Linked DNA regions of Schizosaccharomyces pombe. The protein of the gene in region 1 interacts with the protein of each later gene in a pairwise test. Each region holds a gene or a part of one and is shown in the gene's direction. Other genes may lie near its edges. The genes, in order: man1, ish1, arp2 and ted1.

Region 1 (6,384 bases):
GGACTAGTTTAATTAATGCTGTTACGTTGTGGCGTTATAGTGTCATCGTTAGTCGTTGAATAGTTCTTATAGTGAAATTGGGTATAATATTCGAAAAAAAATTAGCAAACTCGCTATTTTATGCTATTTATTAATTCTTTCTGTTCTTACTGTGAAAGATATTTCTTATATTCCACTTACGTTTGAACTGAGGCTCTTGCTGTATTTTAACTTACGGCTTGCAGTATCAATATAACTATTGCTACTAGAAATTACCTTTAGTCTACGTATTCCATTGAAGCTCTCCGAACGCATCATCTATAGGAAGTTTATTTCTTTTGGAACGGCAAATTTGCCAACTTCTTGTCTGTGAACATATTTTTGTGATTGTATTCTTTCTTCTCAATTCCTTTATTTCATGCTAAGTTGAGCTATTTGATTTCATTTTAGAGCATATACCGGTACATAACTTATTAAATTCTGATTCCATAACAGGAGTGGAATTGATTTACTAATTCTCGGAGTACATTTATTGTAAATTTGAGCATCTCTATTATTTTGGCTTATTTTAGTTAATTATTGACTGTAAACCAACAACATGACTACATTACTGGAAACACCTGGATATAGTGAAAAACTTCATGATTCGATTGAAAAAAAACTTTCTGAATATGGGTGGGGAGAAGAGGCTGCTTCTCTGGCCGATTTTGTTCTTGTGATGCTTAGCAATGGAAAAACACAAACTGAAATTAATGAAGAACTAGTTGATTTAATAGGGTCCGATTTTGATACTAGCTTCTCACTTTGGTTATTTAATCAAATTGAAGAGCTTGAAAAATCAAAAAATGCTTCAGTTGAGTCAGTCAGCAAGATCGACGAAATCGATTTTATCGAGAAGGAGTCAACTGACAAGTCGCAGCAATCTTTCTCTGTGCCGGAAACTAGCATACAACCTCAATCTTCTCAAACTCCTAATATAACTTCGTTACGTGAAGAGAAGGAGCTACCTACTGGGCGTGTCGGACAAAAGCTCAAACTTACATCTCAGAAACAGCGATTCAATCCCATGGCAGCTTCGTTTAACTACTCGAAATCCGTTATGCCTGCTGCCAAGCGTGCTCTCACTCAAACCCAAGAGGTCCCTTTGTGCAAATATGCCGATAAGTGCTCCCGTGCTAACGTATGTATTAATATCAGATAATTTGTTAAAACTAACTCTTTAGTGTATATTTGCTCATCCGACACCAGCCGCAGCCCCAGGAGAAGGTATGGTCCTGAGCAGTGAAATGTGTGCTTCTGGTAAAGAATGCAAAGCTGCTGATGTAAGTACCATAATAATTTAAATCTAACTATTACTAACGTATACAGTGTGTCAAGGGACATCCATCTCCAGCTACGGTTACTACATTACCACCTTTCATGTCCATGTCAACCATTCCAATTCCTTGTAAATATAAACCGTGTTTGAATCCAGCTTGTCGTTTTATCCACCCGACGAAAAGCAGAAATATGACATGGCGGCCACCCTCTAAAACAGAAGAGACGTCCCTGAGTGAACGTTCGTTTGCTGTTAACGAGTCAGAAGAACAACTTCATGTTCCTTCTGTGTAAATTTAGAGAATTATGATACTATTTCGTGTTCGTATAATTGGCACATATCTACTTTTGATAGTCAAGCCAGGATACTTCGTTTAAGAACATACCTTCTAGAGTTTGCAAACTTGATATTTATTTTATTGTATAGATTGCTAAAACGATAAAGTTTTATTTGTCGCTACGTTTGCTGCAATCGGCAATTATCAAGTCGCTAAATTGATTTAAAAAATTTGTTTTCGTTATATTGATGTCTTTTTAGTGAATGAAAATTTTATTTTGATGTGAATTATGCAAATAATGATTTATTTACTTCTTCGGTTAAGTTAATATTATACATATTCAAATACCCACGTTTGTTGACATTCATTACTAAATACATCTTATGTTACTTGTTGGTTACTTGGCTTACACCATGTTGTTGACAACAATCACTTGGTATTTACATTCGCCAGTTTTACGTCTATACACATACCCTTTAGTTAAAAGGTTTTTTTTAATTGAATGGAGGTCCCTTCTTATTTTGACCCCGATTATGATCCTTCGTCTCTTCGAGTAGTAGATTTGCGTAATATATTAACTGAATATCAAATATACTATCCGTCAACGGCGAAGAAAGCGCAGTTAATCACGCTTTTCAGTAAACTACGAAGGGCAAAAAATGGCTTGATCTCTATGACAGAATTGCAGCAAAAGAACGTTCCTCCGTCTTCTCGTAGTCCTCGTAGAAGGGTGGCAGGGGTTACGAATAATGTTACTGCTCGAATTAGCTCTAAGAGAAAAATAAATATGGTTGACGAGGCTAATGATACAGAAATTTCTAAAACTTCACAATTTGAAGATAATGTGATGGGGATGTTACAGGACGAGAACGTTCAAGTTTTGAATACTAACACGATAACCATTTCAGAAGAATCTGAATTTCATGCCTCAAAGATTGCCAAAATAGATTCGCGAAACGAAGAAATAACACATATACCATTTGAGACGCAAACTGAGCTTAATGCGGCAGTTGTAAACCTCGACAACTCAATGGAATCGTCTTTTTCAATTGTCCAGAATTTAACAAACAAGGATTCTTCTGTAGACACCGCTACTTACGATTTTTCTGCAGAAGTTGGTAATATCGTAACACCTGCTTCAAAGTTTTTAGACTATGATCAAAGCTATCTTGTTAATGCCTCCGTGTCGGGTGATCCAACGCCAGTAAAGGTATTGAACACGACGTCTCCAAAAAGCGAAAATCCATTGAACCAAAGTTCTTTTCTCAGTTTCTTAGGCGAAAACCTAAAGCCTAAGTTTACCTCCCGTTCGTCAAGCGTTTACGCTTCTCCTATCAAGTCGTCGTTGAATTCGCTTGAATGTAATCCAAGTAACCTTCTTTCAGTCAGAAAAAATTTTCAACAAAGTTCCGACTCTTATCTCAAATCAAACAAGTCATTTGACCAACTCAACAATTTGGTTGGCTTGTCTACTGGTAATTCGGAGAACTTCACTCCAGAAAATAACAGTTTTTCATGGACTCATCCCAAAAAGAATTCATCATCACCCCTTCCTCAATCTCAATCTTCCTCAATTTTTGTAGAACACCTAAATCAGCTGTACGAAGCAAATGCATCAATTCATCGTCCTGTCAACCCTGCGTTTTCTACAAATTTTGGGTTAGAAGCATCTAATACATCGACGCCAGAGAAGAAAAAATTTGATTCCCAAAAACCCGACGATGATTCGGTTAATGAGATTTCTTCTGATCTCGGTCTTAGTACTACGGGTATTGATCGCGTGGAGGAAAATATTTCCTTGACTAAGGATAGGCAACCTAAAAGGCCATACTTTAGTCTTGGTTCATTCATTTCTTTAATTTTCTCTTTTACCAAAGTGGTAAATTCCTTATGGCTTGTATTGCTTGTCGTACCTCTCTTGGGATTTGTAGGCTTTTGGCATCAAGAAGTACAGCGCGTTGGCTTCTGTGGAGTTCCTGCCGAACCTTATCCTTCTAGTCTATATTATCTCCAACCAGGAGTTTTACGTTCCTCTATTGAGTCTGCATATTCATTTGCTCACTCTTTAGGAATTGAAGCCTCTTGTCAACCTTGTCCTGAGAACGCTGAATGTGGTTTCAATCGTCAGTTATTTTGCAAAGAAGGATTAAAGGCTTCGTTTCCTTTACTTGCAGATTTCGGCTTAAAACCATACCCACGATGTATTCCGAATACCGTGAAGGTTAATAAGGTTGAAGAGATGGTGCAGGCATTTATGTCTATTATCGGAAAGTGGTACTATAAAGCCCCTAAAGAATTTGCCACTTTTGAAAGTGCAAAGAATTTAAACGGAAAATCATTTGTTGACAATTTTAAGGATCGATATTACATGTATAAGCAGGACATCGATAATGTAGTCGGACTTAAAGATTTTAAAGTATATCTGAAGACTACTTTAAACCGTCTATATAATTCAAAGCTGACAAGAAAAGTACTATATTACTTATTTTCTCCACTATTTACTCTTGAGCTATGGAAGCTCCGAGTACGTGGGGCATTGAGTAAATTTCCGACTAATTGTTTGCGATCTGTCTACTCTCATACAGTTTCCTTAATGAAGTATTTGACTTCAGCAGTTATATCCTGTTGGCGAATTTACTTGTTGATTGGTATATTGGCAGCTATTACCGGTACCGTTGTATGGCGAATAAGAGTCTATGCCAAGAAGCATGTAGTAAAGCATGGAGTCTCCGTATGCGTTTCACATTGTATTGCTAAGCTACAAAAAACCAAGCTAAAGTCCTTGACAGATTTTTCTGTCAATCCTCGTGTAGAAGTCGTGCAGCTACGTTCTGACTGTTTTGTATCTGGAGTCGCAGATGACAAGGGCCTTTTTGAACTTGTACATCTCCCTTTGTCAATTCAATTAGAAATATGGGAAAAGGTGGTTTCAGTCCTTGAAGGAATGGTAAGCGTAAAGGTATGGGACAGTGAGCGCTTGGCAAAAAATCGTGCTTGGGAATGGATCGGGGTTTTTTCAGATGACATTGCCTTATAAAATACGGTTAGATATATAAAAAATGACCTTAAGGTCAAACTTTATGAATGTCGTTTGGCATGATGATTTATGAATCTAGATACGAGTGCAGCATCAGTAGGTACTATTATGTCAACATTATTTTCCTCACGTTAATATAATTATTTTTTAGTTATTGCACTTTGTTAAGCACAGGAGCTTATAGATTGAAACACTATCGAAAAATTTAATCAACAGATTCGAAAATTTCATTAATTTAACATTGGTTTTTCTAATTAAAAAAAGAATATCAAATTTAGACCCGAACCGTTTGCATTAGCTGTCTAAAAGAGCATTTCAAATTAGCATTTGGCATCCGGCCTCAATGAAAATAAAGAGTTCCATGTGACAGTTCTTATTTTGAAGGGTTCTGGCATGTTTGTAAAAATTCAATGCCTCGACGGTATTGAACGGTACAGTCTAAAACAGGTCTAATACACTTTTAGAGTTCTAGGACTAAAAATGAACGATAAACAAGGGCCATAAAATGCTCCAAATCAAACAAAAGCCAAACTCGCAAATTGAATTATCTTTATTGCAATATAACTCTAAATACGCAGAAATATGAAATTTATAGAATATGAAATTAAAATAGAATCTGGGAAACTCAACAAAGAAATAATTAACACGTTTAGTATAAGATAAAATAGTAAAGACAAATAAGAAAGATTAATGCAATGCACTTGCTACGAGATTTCGTAAAGCTTTACAAAGTAGTTCAACATCGCCAGAGTAACGACCGGAAGCATAGAAAAACTTTTCGTCCGAATAAACCCAGTGAGCAGTTTTGGGCCCTGGTACGTATTTCGATTCAGGAATATAAGTATAAGTATAAGCCGGAGGATTAGATGCGCCAAATAAATAAGACGCTCTTTCCATATAAAGTGGAGTCGTAGTCGATTTAATCTCAAGATTGGGAGCAGCCCGCTGAACAGCGATTGCTCCTTGAGCCATTGTTGCTAAAACGCGGGTGCCACTAACACGGGCACATAAAGGTATATAGTCAGCTAACAATGAACTGAGACGAGGAGACTCTACAAGTTCTAAAACAGCGGGATCCTGCCCTCCTGGCACATAAACCAAGTCAAAGTTTTCAAAGGTAAAGCTCATATCAGACATATTTGAAGGACTTAAAAATTCTTTGGTAGTTGACATTCTTTCATAAATATCCTTAGTCTTGTATGTGGCACCGATGAACCAAGATTTCACTCCACTTAAAAGGCGCTGATCGGCTTGAGCAACAATACCAGTCAAAGTAGCAAAATTAACCATGAATCCCTCCTTTACAAAAAATTGCCAAGGATCGCAAACCTGAGTAACATCGTACCCAGTGTCTGGTAATACAATACACATCTTAAGCGTTCTATGCTTTCTACCCGATCTACCAACTGGAGTAGGCACCCACAAGGGATTGCTAAAGGGCTGCAACATGGAACCATCACTATTAACTTCACGAACAATGGGCATAGACATGATGATAGATAATTTTTAATAGTTTGTGAGTAAAAACGAGATTACAATAAAATAAACCAGTTGCAATCTATAATAAAGAAAATGGATGCAAACTTATCAAATGATTTCTAATTATAGCTAGAGAAGAATTTATGCTAACAGGAGAAGATTTGACAATCCAAATTTTTGCAGAAGTAGATCAAAGCTTCTTTTAATGAGTTCTGTATTATGAGTAAAATTGGTGGTACAATGTTGAAGACAGGAATGTTTTACGGGTACTGACCTGTATCCGTTGTTAATATT
Region 2 (5,879 bases), on another chromosome or scaffold:
TCGTCAAGTTGACATTTTTTCTAATATTGAAGTTTCTTTATATTTCACCTTTTAATTGTATTTTTTTATTCAAAGGTTCTACTTTGTCAATCATTTTCAATTCCTATTTCGATATAGCTTAGATTTTACAATAATACTTGTTATAATACTGTCTATAACTTTTACGTTAGCCGAAGATTAGAAGTCAAGCACCGTATTGAAATCAAAATTATTAATAATGAGTAAGTGAATATATACCAAGGTTGAATGTTTTTTAACTTTTTAAATAGACAGTTATGAGATTTGCACTTCATGACATGCTAGATTAGCGTTTTTTTTCAAATGAATTTAAATTATTCGCAGCTGTTCAATGAATGTAATCGTATAATTAAATCTTAAATCTTTAAACAGCTGTGTGTTTGATTGAATCCACATTCGTCCTCATGTACTCATAGCTAGGTGAAATATATTAGGCTTTCAGTGATTCGGGATTCCAAACTACACTTAATACCCCCAACATCAAAAATTACGAAAATACGATTAAGCAAATAATATTTAAGTGGATATAATGACCAGCAAAATGGAAAATAATAAAGATGAAAGCATTTCTACCAAAAATGCGTTAGAAGAAAAATCGAACGAAACAAAAGACGAAACTTCAAAGCGAAAGCACGATCCGGCAGAAGAAGAATCAGCGGTTTCCACTAAAGTCTCGAAGAGTGAACCGCTGGAAGATAAAGGGAATGCTGAAGTTAAGGAATTTAAAGAGACTACGAAGAGCAATGGCGTAAAACCGGAGGTTGAGATTACTGAGTCTACTAAAATCCAAAAGGAATCAAACACGGAGCCATGTATCTCAACTGGAGGTAAGGTAGAAGAAAAAGAATTGAAGGTGAATAAGGATGTTGATGAAAATGAGGGACACGTAGCTGTAGAGACAGGCAAAAAAGAATCGGCTGCTAAGCCTGCCGCGAGTGTTTCTCCCTTTTCACAATTTGCTTCATTCTCTAATGCCTCGTCTCCATTCTCCAATGTTTCAACCGCCTCCTCTGAACCAAAAGAAGAGAAATCAGCATTTGGTGCTTTCGCTTCTTCAAAGTCAGCGTTCACAATGAAGAGCGTTAAGGATAGCCCATTTAAAAAGTTTGCTGCAGGAACAGCAGTTGAAACAGAAAGTGGTTCTGGCAAAGAAAAAGAAAATGATAAAAAGAGTTCAGAGAACTTTGACGAGTTACTTGCGAATACGTCAGCCAAAGCATTCGAGAATCAGAAAGGTTCAGCTGGTGAAACCAAATCGGAACCTAAGGAGGCTGACAAGGGTAGTGGAGACTCAACAAAGTCTACTATGCATCAGTTGAGTGATTCAGAAATCATCACTGGGGAGGAAGAGGAGGAATCAATATTCAGTGTTCGCGCAAGACTTTATGTTGTTGCTGATGAAAAAAAGACTTGGAAGGAACGTGGGCAGGGAATTTTGAAAGTAAATGTTCCCAAGCAAAGGGGATCAGGCTCAGGCCGCCTTTTGATGAGAAATGATGCCGTGCATCGAGTTATAATGAACGTGCCTCTTTTCCAAGGCATGTCGAAAAAGTCATTACAAATTGCATCAGCATCTAGTGGTGGTTCTGCTAATTACTTAAAGATCTTCGTTATTGAAAATGGAAAATCTGTGTTATATGCTGTTCGTGTCAAAGATAACAGTTTGGCAGAACAACTACGCAATCACGTTTTGGAAGCCATTCCTAAGGGTGGAAGAGAAGATGCATGAGCGAGATAGAAGATCCACTCGTAAAATAGTAAGTACTTTTCGATTCTTTTTTAGCTCTTCACTATGGTTCTTATTCATTCGAAAGTCCAAAAATATTATATCTATATGCAAAATATGTCACGCTATAGGACGGGTTAAAGTTATACATGATTTAAATGAGCCGATCCTATTGACTTTTAATAATTGATTTTCCGGGTCAGTCTATTTCTATACACTCGTCTTATCATTGGGAGGCATACCTCTATAACTACAGTTTTTCAAAATTACTAACAATGTGTACATCACAGTACGTATTTTATTTCCTCCATTTTTACCTAATTTAATCTTCATATTGCTCAGTACGCCATCTTGAAGGAGCAGAGAGTAGTAAGTTTTGCGATCGTTTGTCCTTTCAAAATTGTGATTTTATCCACCATACAACCAGATCATCGCACTTCGAGATTTTTATCTCTCTATGTATATTTTTTTCATTTTCAAATCATGAACTATGGCCGATTGCTGCTAGCATCAATGTGATTTTACACAGCAAATACATCTAGCAGCACTCTAACATATAATCAAAATTTAAGATTGCTATAATACTTTAAATACGATATCAATCACCAAATATAATTTTATTCAAGAGTATCTTAAGTCAGATTGTGCGCTATCGTTAATTTCCTTTAATCCCTAGTTACTGATAGTTAAACTCATGATGTATTGTCTCCCCTTCAATTCGTTCTAACGACGTTTCTTAGGACTTCTAACTAACGAACCTTTCCTCATTAATTTCGAGGGAGTTTACGTCAGTTAGATTATCTGATGCAATGCCTTTTTTTAGCGTATATATAACATGCTATTGCCTCTGGGAATTCCTCGCTTTCCAAGTAAGCTACCTATAGTAATTACTAAATTTTCTCTGTTTCTTTTTTAACTTGGAGGTTATTGTCTCTATAATCCTTGATTAGGATTGTTTTGTTTCTTCACTTGTGCTCTTTGTATTCCATTTTAGGTAAAACTTTGGTCTAATACATACTGTGGTAGTATTTAGAACTCTGGTTTATTTGAAATTTGTGTTAAATAGGATTCTTTAAAGTGGGTTATTTTCATCTTCCGACATACCTTTCTCATTATCCCTTAGTTTAGTGATTCAAAGTTCAACTTACCGTTTAGTAGGGTTTACTTTTTTAGTTCCCTCAATTTTATTTCAAGAGGAATAATTTATATTTTTTATTTTCCTTCTTATCTATCTTCTTTTTGTGATATTTATTTATTTTGATTTGTAAAAATGCGTTCTCGATCAGTGGCATCTTTAGGCGTCTTGCTTGCCATCGTCTTTTATATCTTTACGTATGGGTTCTCTACCTATCGAAAAAACGACACCTCCGCTGTAAAGACTTGGTTAGAGGAGCACTCAATCCCATATGGATCAAGAAGCTCTCCTTCTGACTTTCAGCAATTTATCTCCGAATCTTATGATTCCTTGGTCCCTAACCTTGACAAATGGAGCGGCCATAATTTAAATTCTTGGTTGGGAAAAAAAACCGAATCTTCATATCTTGATGCTATAAGCAACAAAATTCGTAAGACGGGTCGTAAACTTAGTGGCTCTGTCGAGGATGCTCGGGATGCCACTCAAGAAGCCTGGGAGTCACAAAAGGCTTCGCTTTTCGAATCTTGGTCTGATTCACAATTGCGAGCCTTTTTAGCTAGACACAGTCCCCAATTTGCTGCTAAAGAGAAGAAAGGCATTCTGGAGAAGTTGAGTCCTGCTTCACTTCGCGAAACAGCTGCAAAGGAATATGATGCCCTCACTTCTAAATTAGGCAATACTGGAGATTGGATTTATGATACCTGGTCCGATAACGAATTGCGCACCTGGCTGCATGATGTAGGTGTTCCCATTTCTTCCCATGAAAGTACTCGTTCTCACTTGCTTAGAAAGCTGAAGAACTATATTTCTACTAAAGCTGACGAAGCCCAACCTTCTGTTGAAGCTGTAAAGGGCAAGGCTTCCGAGAAGGCAAAGCAAGCTGGAGAATTTGTTTCTGACAAAGCTGGCGATGCTAAAGAATTGGTTAACGAGAAATCTAGTGAAGCTGGTCAATATGCAGGACAAAAGATGGAAGAAGGTGGTGAACTTCTACAAGAAATTTCGAAAAGAAGGGGCAGATTTGGTAATTGGTGGGCCAATTCTGGACTAAAAGCATATTTTGACGCTCATGGTATTCCTGCTTATCAACCATCTCCAATTGATCAATTTTACGCTCACCTTCGTCGTCAGTATTACTTAAAAACAAACGGTTATCAGGCTCTAAAGTCAAAGGCCTATGAGGAAGCTTCCAACGTGGCTGACTCTGCTTCTTCTATTGCCTCTAATGTTGCAAGTGGTGCTACAGAAGCCTATCAAGGCGCTGCTTCTGGAGCCTCTCGTTTTACAGAGGGTGCGAAAACCGCCGCAGAATCGGTAACATCTGCATTTGAACATAATAAGGATACTGCCACTTCAAAAGCCAAGCAAATGAAAGGTAAGGCTGCCAGCCTTGGCTCTACTGCCTCAGAGAAGGTAGGCGAAGCTGCTGACTATGCTGCTGAAACCGCTAGTAAGGTTGCCAGTAAGGCGGCATCTAAAGTACGTGAAACAATAGATGAGACCATCATCGAGCGCTGGCAAGACTCTAAATTGAAGGAATTTTTGTTCCTTCGTGGAGTTCCGGTTCCTCAGCGTTCTACTAAGGATCAATTACTGGACCTTGTTCGTAAGCATTTCAATAAAGGCGCTGTTCCTAATTGGGCTGCTTATTTTGATACTTTGAGCTCCAAAGAGCTTTCTGCCTGGATTAAGGAATACAAAAAACATTACCATGGAAAACTTCACCCATCCAAAGATCGTGAACATCTTTTCCAAAATGCCTGTAATATTTATCGCGCTATTGCTGAAAAGGCTGACAAATCTGTTCTTCAATCGATTCAATCAAAGTTTCCTAAGGCAACTGTTCCCGGTTATGACTCTTGGTCTAATGAAGATCTAAAGTCTGCACTCAAGGAATATGGTGACAGTATTGGTAAGGTGTTTAATCGTAAAGATGCTATTGAACGCTTAAAGCGTCATGATATTTTATTCTATGGTCCTGTTGTTGCCGACAAGGCTAAATCAGGAGTCTCTGGCTTCCTTCGACGTGTTGCTTCTTTTATGGGATTTGGCACTCGCGACGTAGCTGAAATTAAGCTAGGAGAAAACATTCAAAAGGTAAAAGATACTGCCTCTAAAGCCTCATCTGCTGTATCTTCAGCAGGCGACTATGTCGAAACTAATGTAAAGAAAGCCCAAAGGGTTTTGTAAATTGTTCATGAACGTTCTTAATGTCTATTTATATTATTTAAAAAGAAGGAGATTACGTCTAAAACGAGTTCTCGTTTAATATATGACTTTTAATGAAATATCTATGTTCATATTCGCTACTTAACCTTCCTTGGCAAGTAATCCATCCTATTGTTAACATTAATATAATCCATCAAGATACTTTTTTATTAATTTAAGTTTTTCAGAATTAGATGTTGGTGCACCTCCTCCAAATCTAGAGCTGTGGAAAGAATTGGTAAAATCTTATCGCGATGTTCGTGATTCTCTAAAAATTGCAGTAAAACATTTCTAGCATATTCTTTGTTAATCAATTCTTTAGAAATATTGCTTATAACAGGTGGCTCGAATGAACCTGCTGAATCACTTGAAGCTTTGGGCAATATTTCACTGCTCATAACACTGGACAGCTCGCTCTCGTGAGATTTGACACTTTCCTTTTGAACCTTTTGCTTTTCAATGAGTTCTTTTATTTCATCCCTTGACTCCACTAACTCGTTTCCAACATTCCTGAGCATATCTTGAAGATTTTCGTTTTCTTCCTTTAGTTTGCAGACCGTTTCATCAGATTTCTCTAATCTTTTTTTTATATCAAGGTGCTCTTGCTTCGTATTTAGAGCATCCCTGTTGTAGATTTCTGCCTTCTGTTCGGCTTCGTCGCGTTGAATTTGGATCCTACGAACCAAGTCACTCAAGGTTTTGTTTGCATTCTCCAACTCCTTTACCTTTTCATCTAGAGGTTTTTCTTTATCTTTTGAATCGATCGAGCCGGAGCGTTGTTCCTCTAAATCA
Region 3 (4,668 bases), 450 kb from region 1:
ATGTATGTCCATGTGTTTAATATTTTAATTTTGTTGCTTGCACCGGTCATCATTTTTACTGCTGAGATGAGCATGATGATTCAAGTTCGTATAATTTGTGCACATGATAGAAAGACACAAAGGATAATGACTGTTATTAGTGCCTGCTTAACTGTTTTGGTTCTCGCATTTTGGATTACTAACATGTGTCAACAGATTCAGTATCTGTTATGGTTAACTCCACTTAGCAGCAAGACCATTGTTGGATACTCTTGGCCCTACTTTATTGCTAAAATACTTTTTGCTTTTAGCATTATTTTTCACAGTGGTGTTTTTTCATACAAACTCTTTCGTGCCATATTAATACGGAAAAAAATTGGGCAATTTCCATTTGGTCCGATGCAGTGTATTTTAGTTATTAGCTGCCAATGTCTTATTGTTCCAGCTACCTTTACTATAATAGATAGTTTTATCCATACGTATGATGGCTTTAGCTCTATGACTCAATGTCTGCTAATCATTTCTCTTCCTCTTTCGAGTTTATGGGCGTCTAGTACAGCTCTGAAATTGCAAAGCATGAAAACTTCATCTGCGCAAGGAGAAACCACCGAGGTTTCGATTAGAGTTGATAGAACGTTTGATATCAAACATACTCCCAGTGACGATTATTCGATTTCTGATGAATCTGAAACTAAAAAGTGGACGTAACTTACGCCTGAATGTATCTTTTTTGATAATTCCTAATACTGGCTCAATAACAGTCCCAAATAACATAGACGGTTTTTTTACGATAGGCTTGTAATCATAATTTGCTCAGAGGGAAGTTTTCTAATGGTTTTTTTTTTTTCGCTTCATGAACAATTGTTTACTATAAACATCAATGAAATTATATGATTATAATAACTTATTATCATGAAAACTTCAAGTCGTACTTCACAAACACTTATTAAAACAATAGTGAATGAACTGCCTTCGTAATCTATAATGAACTATAATGTTTTGAGTCTCCAAGTGCTTACCTTACGAACTTTTTTTTTTATTTAAAGCTTCTTGTACCGTAGAAGCCATATCATTCATCGAAGAAGCTAATTCCTTTCTAAGCATCGTTTGCTTTTGTACTTTGGCCGATTGCATTAGCAGTTCTTCCAGACGTGATTTAAACGTTTCCACTATATACACGTAAGTATTGAGCTATTAAATAAAAATTATAACCAACCTGCTGACAATAAAATGTATTTATCCTCCATTTATTTTTATCAAATATTGTATCGAAATGTTTTAGCTGCGAAACGTTACACTCCTTAATTTAGTAATAGCAATATAATAAGGATCTTTAAACCGATATGTGTTATTCTCAAATTGCATTGCTCCACTTATTTCAGTAAACAGATGACAAATATTCAATAATGGTATATGTCGATAATTATAATTCTTTTGTTTAAGTCTTGTATTCAATTTAATGCACACATCTAGTTACTAGAGAAATAAATTCTTTATTAAATCGGTTCCGCGATTCTTCATTTTTGCACAGCGCTCCTAGTCATACCAATCTCATAATAAACGATCGAAGTGTTACCTGCACATTAAACAAACAAATAGAGTCCGTGTTTTTCTTTTAAATAATAGTAATACTATGTGAAACGAAGAATCTTTTAACTAATAAGCGATAATATACATTACTGCCGAACAATTATAAATGCACAGTTATGGCTTTGAGTATAAGGGGTAACGATACTAATGCTAAGTACAATAGAAGATAAGATCATTAACCGTAAAAACCTTTGAGCTATTCTTTTTGCAGCCAATTGTTAAATTAATTTAGATACTTCATTTCTGTTTTATAATTCTCAAGATTACTGCACTTCGCTTTCCTACGATATTACATATTTACGATATATCACCGAATGCTCTGCTACAGTTGCAGTGCTGCTGTGTCATACGGTATATGGCAGATAGTTACCGCCGGTACATTACATAGGGGTGGACTTAAGAACTAACCTTTCACCAACTACACGAGACGTTTATAAAATGGAGTCTGCTCCCATTGTTCTAGATAATGGAACTGGTTTTGTGAAGGTAATCAGTTTAATTAAATCTTTGTTTACACTGTGACTAACGTTAGCAAGGTCGGATATGCTAAAGACAATTTTCCGCGCTTTCAATTCCCATCCATCGTAGGAAGGCCCATTTTACGTGCTGAAGAGAAAACAGGAAATGTTCAAATTAAAGATGTTATGGTCGGTGATGAAGCTGAGGCGGTGAGATCTTTACTTCAAGTAAAATATCCCATGGAAAATGGCATTATCCGTGATTTTGAAGAGATGAATCAACTTTGGGATTACACTTTCTTTGAAAAACTAAAAATTGATCCGAGGGGTAGGAAAATTTTGTTGACCGAGCCCCCTATGAATCCTGTTGCTAACCGCGAAAAAATGTGTGAGACAATGTTTGAACGGTATGGTTTTGGTGGTGTTTATGTCGCCATTCAGGCCGTTCTCTCTTTATACGCACAGGGATTAAGCAGTGGTGTAGTTGTTGATTCTGGTGACGGTGTAACCCATATTGTGCCTGTCTATGAAAGTGTTGTTTTAAATCATTTAGTTGGTCGCCTTGACGTTGCCGGTAGGGATGCTACCCGCTATTTGATTAGCTTACTTCTTCGTAAGGGTTATGCTTTCAATCGTACAGCAGACTTTGAAACTGTTCGCGAGATGAAAGAAAAACTTTGTTACGTTAGTTATGATTTGGAATTGGACCATAAGCTTAGCGAAGAAACTACCGTTTTAATGCGTAATTACACCCTTCCTGATGGAAGAGTTATTAAAGTTGGTTCTGAGCGTTATGAATGTCCAGAATGTCTATTTCAACCTCATCTGGTTGGTAGTGAACAACCAGGTTTGAGTGAATTTATTTTTGACACTATCCAAGCAGCTGATGTGGACATTCGCAAGTATTTGTATCGCGCCATTGTTCTCTCAGGTGGTAGCAGTATGTATGCCGGTCTTCCTTCACGTCTTGAAAAGGAAATAAAACAGTTATGGTTTGAGCGTGTTCTTCATGGAGATCCCGCACGTTTGCCTAACTTTAAGGTTAAGATTGAAGACGCTCCTCGTCGCCGTCATGCCGTGTTTATCGGCGGCGCCGTATTGGCAGATATCATGGCTCAAAACGATCACATGTGGGTGTCCAAGGCAGAATGGGAGGAGTATGGAGTACGTGCACTAGACAAATTGGGTCCTAGAACTACTTAGAGTATATTTATGTTTAATGTTCTGTTTCTTTCTTTTTATGTGCTAGTAAATTGAGTTATACGAAGTTTGATTCATAAATTTCAAACTTTGCTAAATGATTACGTTTTCTGTTTAATCCGACCATCGTTAAAAGACGGTACGATTCCTTCTTTTATTTGCCTTTTTGATTCCTTTTTCTTTTGATGGGCTATTTACTTATGCTTGATGTTTATACAACCTTTTTGTAACCAACGATCTTATTTACTCAATATGCACTAGTACACTTCAATAGCAACAGACTTAATGACTAGACTCCCGTGACGTATATATTTGGTTTCGCCCATTTAGGGCGTTTTCTTATTAGGTCCTAGTTTTAACAAAAATAGCTTGACATTCTGAGCTTCTAGTTTTCTGAAGATTGACATCCACGGAAAACATGAGTAACATTTAAAAGCAGGAATTTCTATTATTGTAAATAAATAAATTACCGACCTAATTTTTTTGTTAAATTGTATATATAAACCATTAATAATGTGTCCAAGACAGCCTAGAAAAATTAATGCTCTTAATTAAGCACGACAGCATAAGAGGAGTAGAAATTGCCGCACAAATCGACTGAAATTTCTCATAACGGTGTAAGAGGAATTCATTAGGAAACAAAACGACGGAACATTGAAACAACCTTAAATAAATAAGAACAAATATAAAAGTGTAGTTTACGAAGACAAAATGCCTCGTGAAACCGACAGATGAAAAACAACGTGAAACCGAAAATATGTGAATAAAAAATGAACAACATAGAACAACAGTAATGAAAATGAAAATATAAAAACAAAGAACAAAAGCAAAGAATAAAAAAGGAGAAACGACTGGAGTAAATAAGAGAAGAATCCAGAAGAAGTAATTTAAAGTTGCTTCCATTGTTCAATTATTCGAAGAGCTGTTTGAAGTTCCTCAGCTACAGCAACAACATTTTTCCGCTGGAACGCCTGCATCCACTGTCGTTCATAATAAGCATCTTCCACGTCATCGTTTTCGAGTAAATAAACATGCTTCAAGTTAAGATAAACGCCAAGTAAATGTATCTGATAAATATCAGTTACAAAATATGGGTACTTCACAACTTGGGACACCACGTAGTCAAATAAAAGTTTGGCTTGATCGTCGATAGTAGAGGAATCGGGAAAAGATGGAGGCTGCCAAAAGTGCAATGTATATTTAAGTTTATAATTATCATAAAATGAAACAGGCAAATTGTGATCTTTGGATAGAAATATCAGTATATCAGCTGAAGTTTTTTTATGCTGCTTAATATCTGCTAATTCAAATAGCAAAGAAGAAGACGCATCAGGGGCAAAGGCGACAACTGCACCACTTAACTCAAGATATCGTGAATCCGATAATACCCGAGTGGAGACAAGGTACTTATCCGGAATTGGTCGAATCTTTTTGAGTGCAA
Region 4 (5,301 bases), 1.2 Mb from region 1:
CTTTTTGAGCGAAACCCTTAAATATTTGTTTCTATTATTTGACGATGATAATCCCATTCACAGAAGTCACCATGATTTTATTTTTACGACAGAAGGTCATTTGTTTCCCGTGACAAATCAAACACGACTGTCTACCTCTCAAAGAATTTACGACGGTGGAGAAGTTTGTGTTGCAGAAGATTACGACAGATCTAAATGGCCAATGTTATATTCGTTGATAGCATCTAGAGACGATTACGATTATGTCTCTCATTTAGTAGGAATTGATAACAAAGCAATACCCTCGTATCTAATTGATCCATCGGGTGTTTGCAAGAGGCCAGAGTATTCCGATGGTTTTGAACTCCTTTATGGAAGTGCACTTGTTAGTCCTATAAAATCAGTGGAACGTGTAACCAATAATGTATACATATCCGACATTATCGGTAATAAACTTAAATTCGTTCAAAAAGAAGGTTCTAATTCTCTGTTTTTATACACTGCTGGAGCTGAATCTATAAATGAGAATGACACGGTCTTCCTAACCGATCCGGATTATGAGACCTTCACAAGACCTGATGCATTGTACTTTGATCGAACTATTGCTCAGCTAGAAAATCCGAACAGTGGTCAAAAAACGTTTGGAAAATTCCTTCAATTTGACAACGATAATTCTTTACCTTCAAAGGTTTTTAAGACAGTCTTGTTAAATAACAGTATGTGTCAAAAACCCTCCGATACTCTCGACAAAGATACAGCATATATTGCTCCACTTGGCAACTGCTCATGGGTGCAGCAAGCAAAAAATACCAATAAGGCAGGATTGTTAATTCTCATCACGGATGGTGAATTTATTAATCCGTTAGAAAATATTCATTCTCAAAACAGTCTATTCAATTGGGTTAAACCATACATCCCTCCGACTATTCTCTTAAAAAATGAAAACAATTTTGTTTCTAAATGGGCCAACGTCTCTGTGCGTCAATCAGACTTTGACGCCCCTTCGTACTTCCAAGGAACTCCAGTTTCAAACCTATATTTGTGTCTGAAATGCATAAACAGCTAGGAATAACGCTGTTTTGTGATTTTTTATTTACGCATGTGTATAGACTTGCGGTCATATATGCTTTTTACTATTTAAAAAATATTTGTGCTGCGTGATTTCAAAGCCTATAGATGTTTATCCATTCAATACTTAATAAAAGTATATTTGGATAATTCAGCTTTCTCTTGTAATTATACTTTTAATCGAGGGCTATATTATAACGTGGATTCGTCAATAGGCTTATAATAAGCTGAATGTATCTACCTATTTATATTAAAGAAAAGCGTGGTATTGACCATTCTAAAAATTATACCCTTTATGACCCTTATAAGCTTTTCTCCTTATGATGTTGCATCCTTTTTTCTTTTTTTTCATTTTAAGATATCGATTTCCACCCGATTTATATATATTTGCTAACAAAAATCCTACTTTTTAGAATACTAGTTGAAAAATGTATAACTTATTCAATTTACAACTTAGACTAAAAAAATCCTAGCTTGACGAATAAACCATAGAAAAAAACCCAGAACCCTAAACATTTATAAAAAAGGAATAAAGCAAATATAACGTTAAAAATTAGAAATGCTTATACATACTTCGAGTTCATAGTTTAAGCAAATTCACTACCATCAGGTGCTTCATCCTGTCCAGTAAGAAGTGTATAAGTAGGAGCCATAAGACGCTTACGTCCTTGAAGAAATGTAAGTTCTAAAAGGAAGAGATGTCCAACTAATTCACCACCCAAACGAGTAACGAGTTCATCAGCAGCCAAGGCGGTGCCACCAGTAGCAAGAATGTCGTCAACTATTAAGACTCTTTGACCGGGTTTAATAGTACCCTTTTGGATTGCAAAAGAATCAGTAGAATATTCCTTATTGTAGCTTACGACGACCAAATCACCGGGAAGCTTGTTGGGCTTACGGACAGGGACAAATGCACAATTTGCACGTAAAGCCAACGTAGGTCCAAAAAGAAATCCACGCGCCTCCAAACCAACAATCACATCAATGTTATTGAATTCAGTTTCAACGGCTTCAAGCAAAAGATCGATAAGGATGCCAAAGGCTCTGGGATCTTGAAAAATGGGCATTATCTAATAACATTAGCATCTTATTGTTTATAATTTAACAGAGTATTTAAGCAATTGCAAGGCGTAAAGATAATATAACCTCTCGAATTGTATTTTGGATTCAAACTTCACGCTAATTGAGCAAAATAATATCACCGTTCCTATCCAACCTCGCGCATTTCCTCCTTCTATAAAATCTTACATCTTCAAACAAGATTCCCTTTTTGGGAAAATCTGGATATTGAACAAGTTTATTCTTAAGGTAATTGATTCTATCGTCGGACATTTTAGTAAATTGCTATGTAAAAACTTCTACAAAAAAAAATAAATACTCAATTTCCGTTACCGTCTATGCAGCGAAAATTTTGGACTGCTGTTTTCAAGTAACATGTTACCATCCGTTTAATGTAAAAAACGTCAGTCATAATTCACCTATTAATACTAAGTAGTGTACCGGGTTAACTTTGGCAGCTAAGACGAGCTCTAAAAGAAACGTTTATGTTTGAAATTCGACGCTCTTTTCCATTCCTTTCTTCGTGAAAACTGTCAGCCACAACTCCATGTTTTGAGGTATTCCTTCTTTAGTTTGATATACACTTCAAGCAATTTCAGTCATATCCGTTGTTCATCATTAAACAAACTTCGGTCAAGATTATTAGCCGTTTTTTGCTATTACATTCAGTAGAAAGCTTATTTTTTAATTTGTTTAAGCCAGTTATACTGATACACTTGGTATTAATTCAATTCAGAAAAAAATTTCAACGGCAAACATCGATACACATTTTTCTAAGAACCAAGCTTCTTTTTCAGGAATTTTGAATCAATCATTTGACCATTGATTTGCAATCTAAATTTTAGCAGTGGGTTTGTTCGAATACTGCAGCTATACCTATAAATTACCCATTTACTAGCTTCATGGATTAGAAAAATAAGTTTTGTTGTTTCATTTGTGCTTTTTGTTTTTCTATTCTGTTCTGCTCATTTCTTGTTATTTGAAAGCAAATCTTTCTAAAAAGCTTTATTGACACTTTTATGGTGGTATACCATTTATATAATCTAGTAAGTAAAGCAAAAACCAAAATCTTACGCCTCTACATTACTCGTTTAGTCTGCTCCTAAGTAAAAATAGGCACTCCAAAAATCGCTCCTTCTCTCCGTTCCCTTTTTTAATTTACGTTGACATAATTAAGTCAATAATGTTTGCAAGACATCCGAATTTATTATGGTTGAACAAACAACTGTCTATTTTACATTATCTTTGCCTAGTTTTTTTAGCTGTCTACTATGCCTATCCTCTACTATTTGGCATAATGCCAAGAAAGCTGCAACTCGAAGATGAAAATTCTTTTGTTATTATGGGGGTTGCTGATCCTCAGATTGAAGGGAATCATAAAATCGAAGCAAATGGATTTTTTAAAGGCACTTTAGATCTTTGGGGGAATGATTTGTTTTTACGACACCTTGTACATATGAATCAGTTTTGGGGTCAACCAGATGCGATGATTCTGTTGGGTGACTTGGTCAGTTTTCAGCACTTGGATAACGAAGAATTCAACAAAAGAGCTAAAAGACTGAAAAAAATCACTGGGGCAAAAAACTTTTGGCAAGTAGGAAACTCCAGTTTACCAGCACGTACTTTTGAAAACGGTAACATTCCCGTTTGGACGATTGCGGGTAATCATGACATTGGCTATGGCTGCGAAAGTTCAGACGCACAAATTAGCAAATGGGAACAAGCTATGGGCCCGGTAAATTGGGTTTCGCACTTCAATGTTTCTAAATTTCCTGTCCGTGTGATCGGCATAAATAGCCTTTCGCTTGATGATGTTCAGTTTTACGATGCGAACCCTAGCGATATTATTAACAGTAAAAGTTTTTCATCATTAGGTATACTTGCTCTTTCAAAAGAAGCTAGGGATGCTTGGCAATTTCTTTTCGACATTGCTTTAGAGCCGTCTATTCCAACCATACTGTTCACCCATGTGCCACTCTACAAACCAGCTAATGTGTGTGTTGACGAACCGAGAATCGTTCGTCAATTGGATTTTCGGGTCAAGTCTCAAAATCATTTATCGTATAATACTACTATGAAAATTTTTGAATTGATTCCTAGCATCAAATTGGTCCTTTCTGGCCATGATCATATGGGTTGTGACTACGAACACCCGAACGGTGCCATCGAACATACATTACCCAGCGCAATGGGGTACTTTGGAGGAAATATTGGTTTTGTCAAACTGATCGCGACAAATGATGTTCTTACAGAGTCCTCCAAGAACACACCCTCGGTTGTTACATTTCTGATTCAAAAACTCATTGGCCAACGATGGAAGAAGGCTTCATTGAAACAGTCAAAATTCAGTTCCGACATATATGCCACTTATACCTTGAGTCACGGAGGACCATCTTATATTTGGTGGGCTCTTCACATATCGGTATGCGTACTTACCATCTTACGTTTATTGGTAATATCATTGCAACATATCTAACATTGTTGTGCACTAATTGTTCAAATGAACAGTTTTATATTTACACCAGCCTCTTAAACAGGCAATATATCCAGCCTTTAGGTGAATTTGAGAGAAACCAACCTTTTTTACCAGCCATTCTGCTGGTTTTTAACCAAGAACCTGCAGATTCATTGAATTAACGTGGTGCCTTAATTACATTTAACGTCATTTTTGTACTTTCTTGCAGTAGTGCTGGATGTTTATTTACACAAAGTCGACCAATGTTACCATAGTAACGCGACCCAAGAATGCGTTATCTAATTTAGGTGCAAATATAAATGTCTCTCTGGAATCCACAATTTTTCGATTGTTTTTGTTTACATCGATACAGTTTCCAGCATTGCCCCACTTTTGAGCATTAATACACTTAGGTCATATCAGAAACCCAAGTGCTATATTAAGTCGCCTTTCTCGCTTACTTTCTTTCCTTAACCATCTACTTTTAGTTGGGTATTCGTCTTGCTGAAGGCCTGTGCACTGCCAATTGCCGAACTAGGGATTTATTTGAGAAATGAGAAGATTAACCATCAGCGGGCTATTAATTAGCTTAGCCAAGCTTTGTGCTGGCATGGAAATTAATGTTCCTTCTTCTTCAGACGTTTGGACTAGTGGACATATTGAACCCTTGGAATGGAGTGTGGTCAGCACTGATCCCCTGCAGGCTAATGTCTGGTTAATAAACGAAGTTGAGTATCCAC

The links.
Region 2: the proteins of man1 (region 1) and ish1 interact in a two-hybrid assay, tested with the Schizosaccharomyces pombe proteins (2 studies listed by BioGRID).
Region 3: the proteins of man1 (region 1) and arp2 interact in a two-hybrid assay, tested with the Schizosaccharomyces pombe proteins (2 studies listed by BioGRID).
Region 4: the proteins of man1 (region 1) and ted1 interact in a two-hybrid assay, tested with the Schizosaccharomyces pombe proteins (2 studies listed by BioGRID).

What each region holds. Positions count from the first base shown.
Region 1 is NC_003424.3:5,234,011-5,240,394, reverse strand, and holds man1 (LEM domain-containing protein Man1), read left to right. Parts: upstream 1-2,016; 5' UTR 2,017-2,076; coding exon 2,077-4,611; 3' UTR 4,612-5,239; downstream 5,240-6,384. Other genes in the region: poly(A)-binding protein Nab2, read left to right, coding at 578-1,159, 1,203-1,301, 1,348-1,590; SPOM_SPAC14C4.04 (uncharacterized protein), read right to left, coding at 5,299-6,102. UniProt on the Schizosaccharomyces pombe protein: Required for correct meiotic chromosome segregation.
Region 2 is NC_003423.3:2,515,439-2,521,317, reverse strand, and holds ish1 (nuclear envelope Ish domain protein Ish1), read left to right. Parts: upstream 1-2,604; 5' UTR 2,605-3,014; coding exon 3,015-5,069; 3' UTR 5,070-5,193; downstream 5,194-5,879. Other genes in the region: Ran GTPase-binding protein Hba1, read left to right, coding at 548-1,747; Golgi GRIP domain protein Grp2, read right to left, coding at 5,258-5,879. UniProt on the Schizosaccharomyces pombe protein: Has a role in maintaining cell viability during stationary phase induced by stress response. Activated by the spc1 MAPK pathway.
Region 3 is NC_003424.3:4,781,048-4,785,715, forward strand, and holds arp2 (ARP2/3 actin-organizing complex actin-related protein subunit Arp2), read left to right. Parts: upstream 1-1,974; 5' UTR 1,975-2,007; coding exon 2,008-2,055; intron 2,056-2,079; exon of another isoform or gene 2,080-2,105; coding exon 2,106-3,230; 3' UTR 3,231-3,718; downstream 3,719-4,668. Other genes in the region: pheromone p-factor receptor Mam2, read left to right, coding at 1-687; protein Fta6, read right to left, coding at 1,000-1,148, 1,196-1,226; Golgi 4,6-pyruvylated galactose (PvGal) residue biosynthesis protein Pvg5, read right to left, coding at 4,115-4,668.
Region 4 is NC_003424.3:4,080,764-4,086,064, reverse strand, and holds ted1 (phosphoprotein phosphatase), read left to right. Parts: upstream 1-2,559; 5' UTR 2,560-3,289; coding exon 3,290-4,582; downstream 4,583-5,301. Other genes in the region: alpha mannosidase Mnl1, read left to right, coding at 1-1,045; apt1 (adenine phosphoribosyltransferase), read right to left, coding at 1,635-2,117, 2,296-2,379; protein adg2, read left to right, coding at 5,115-5,301.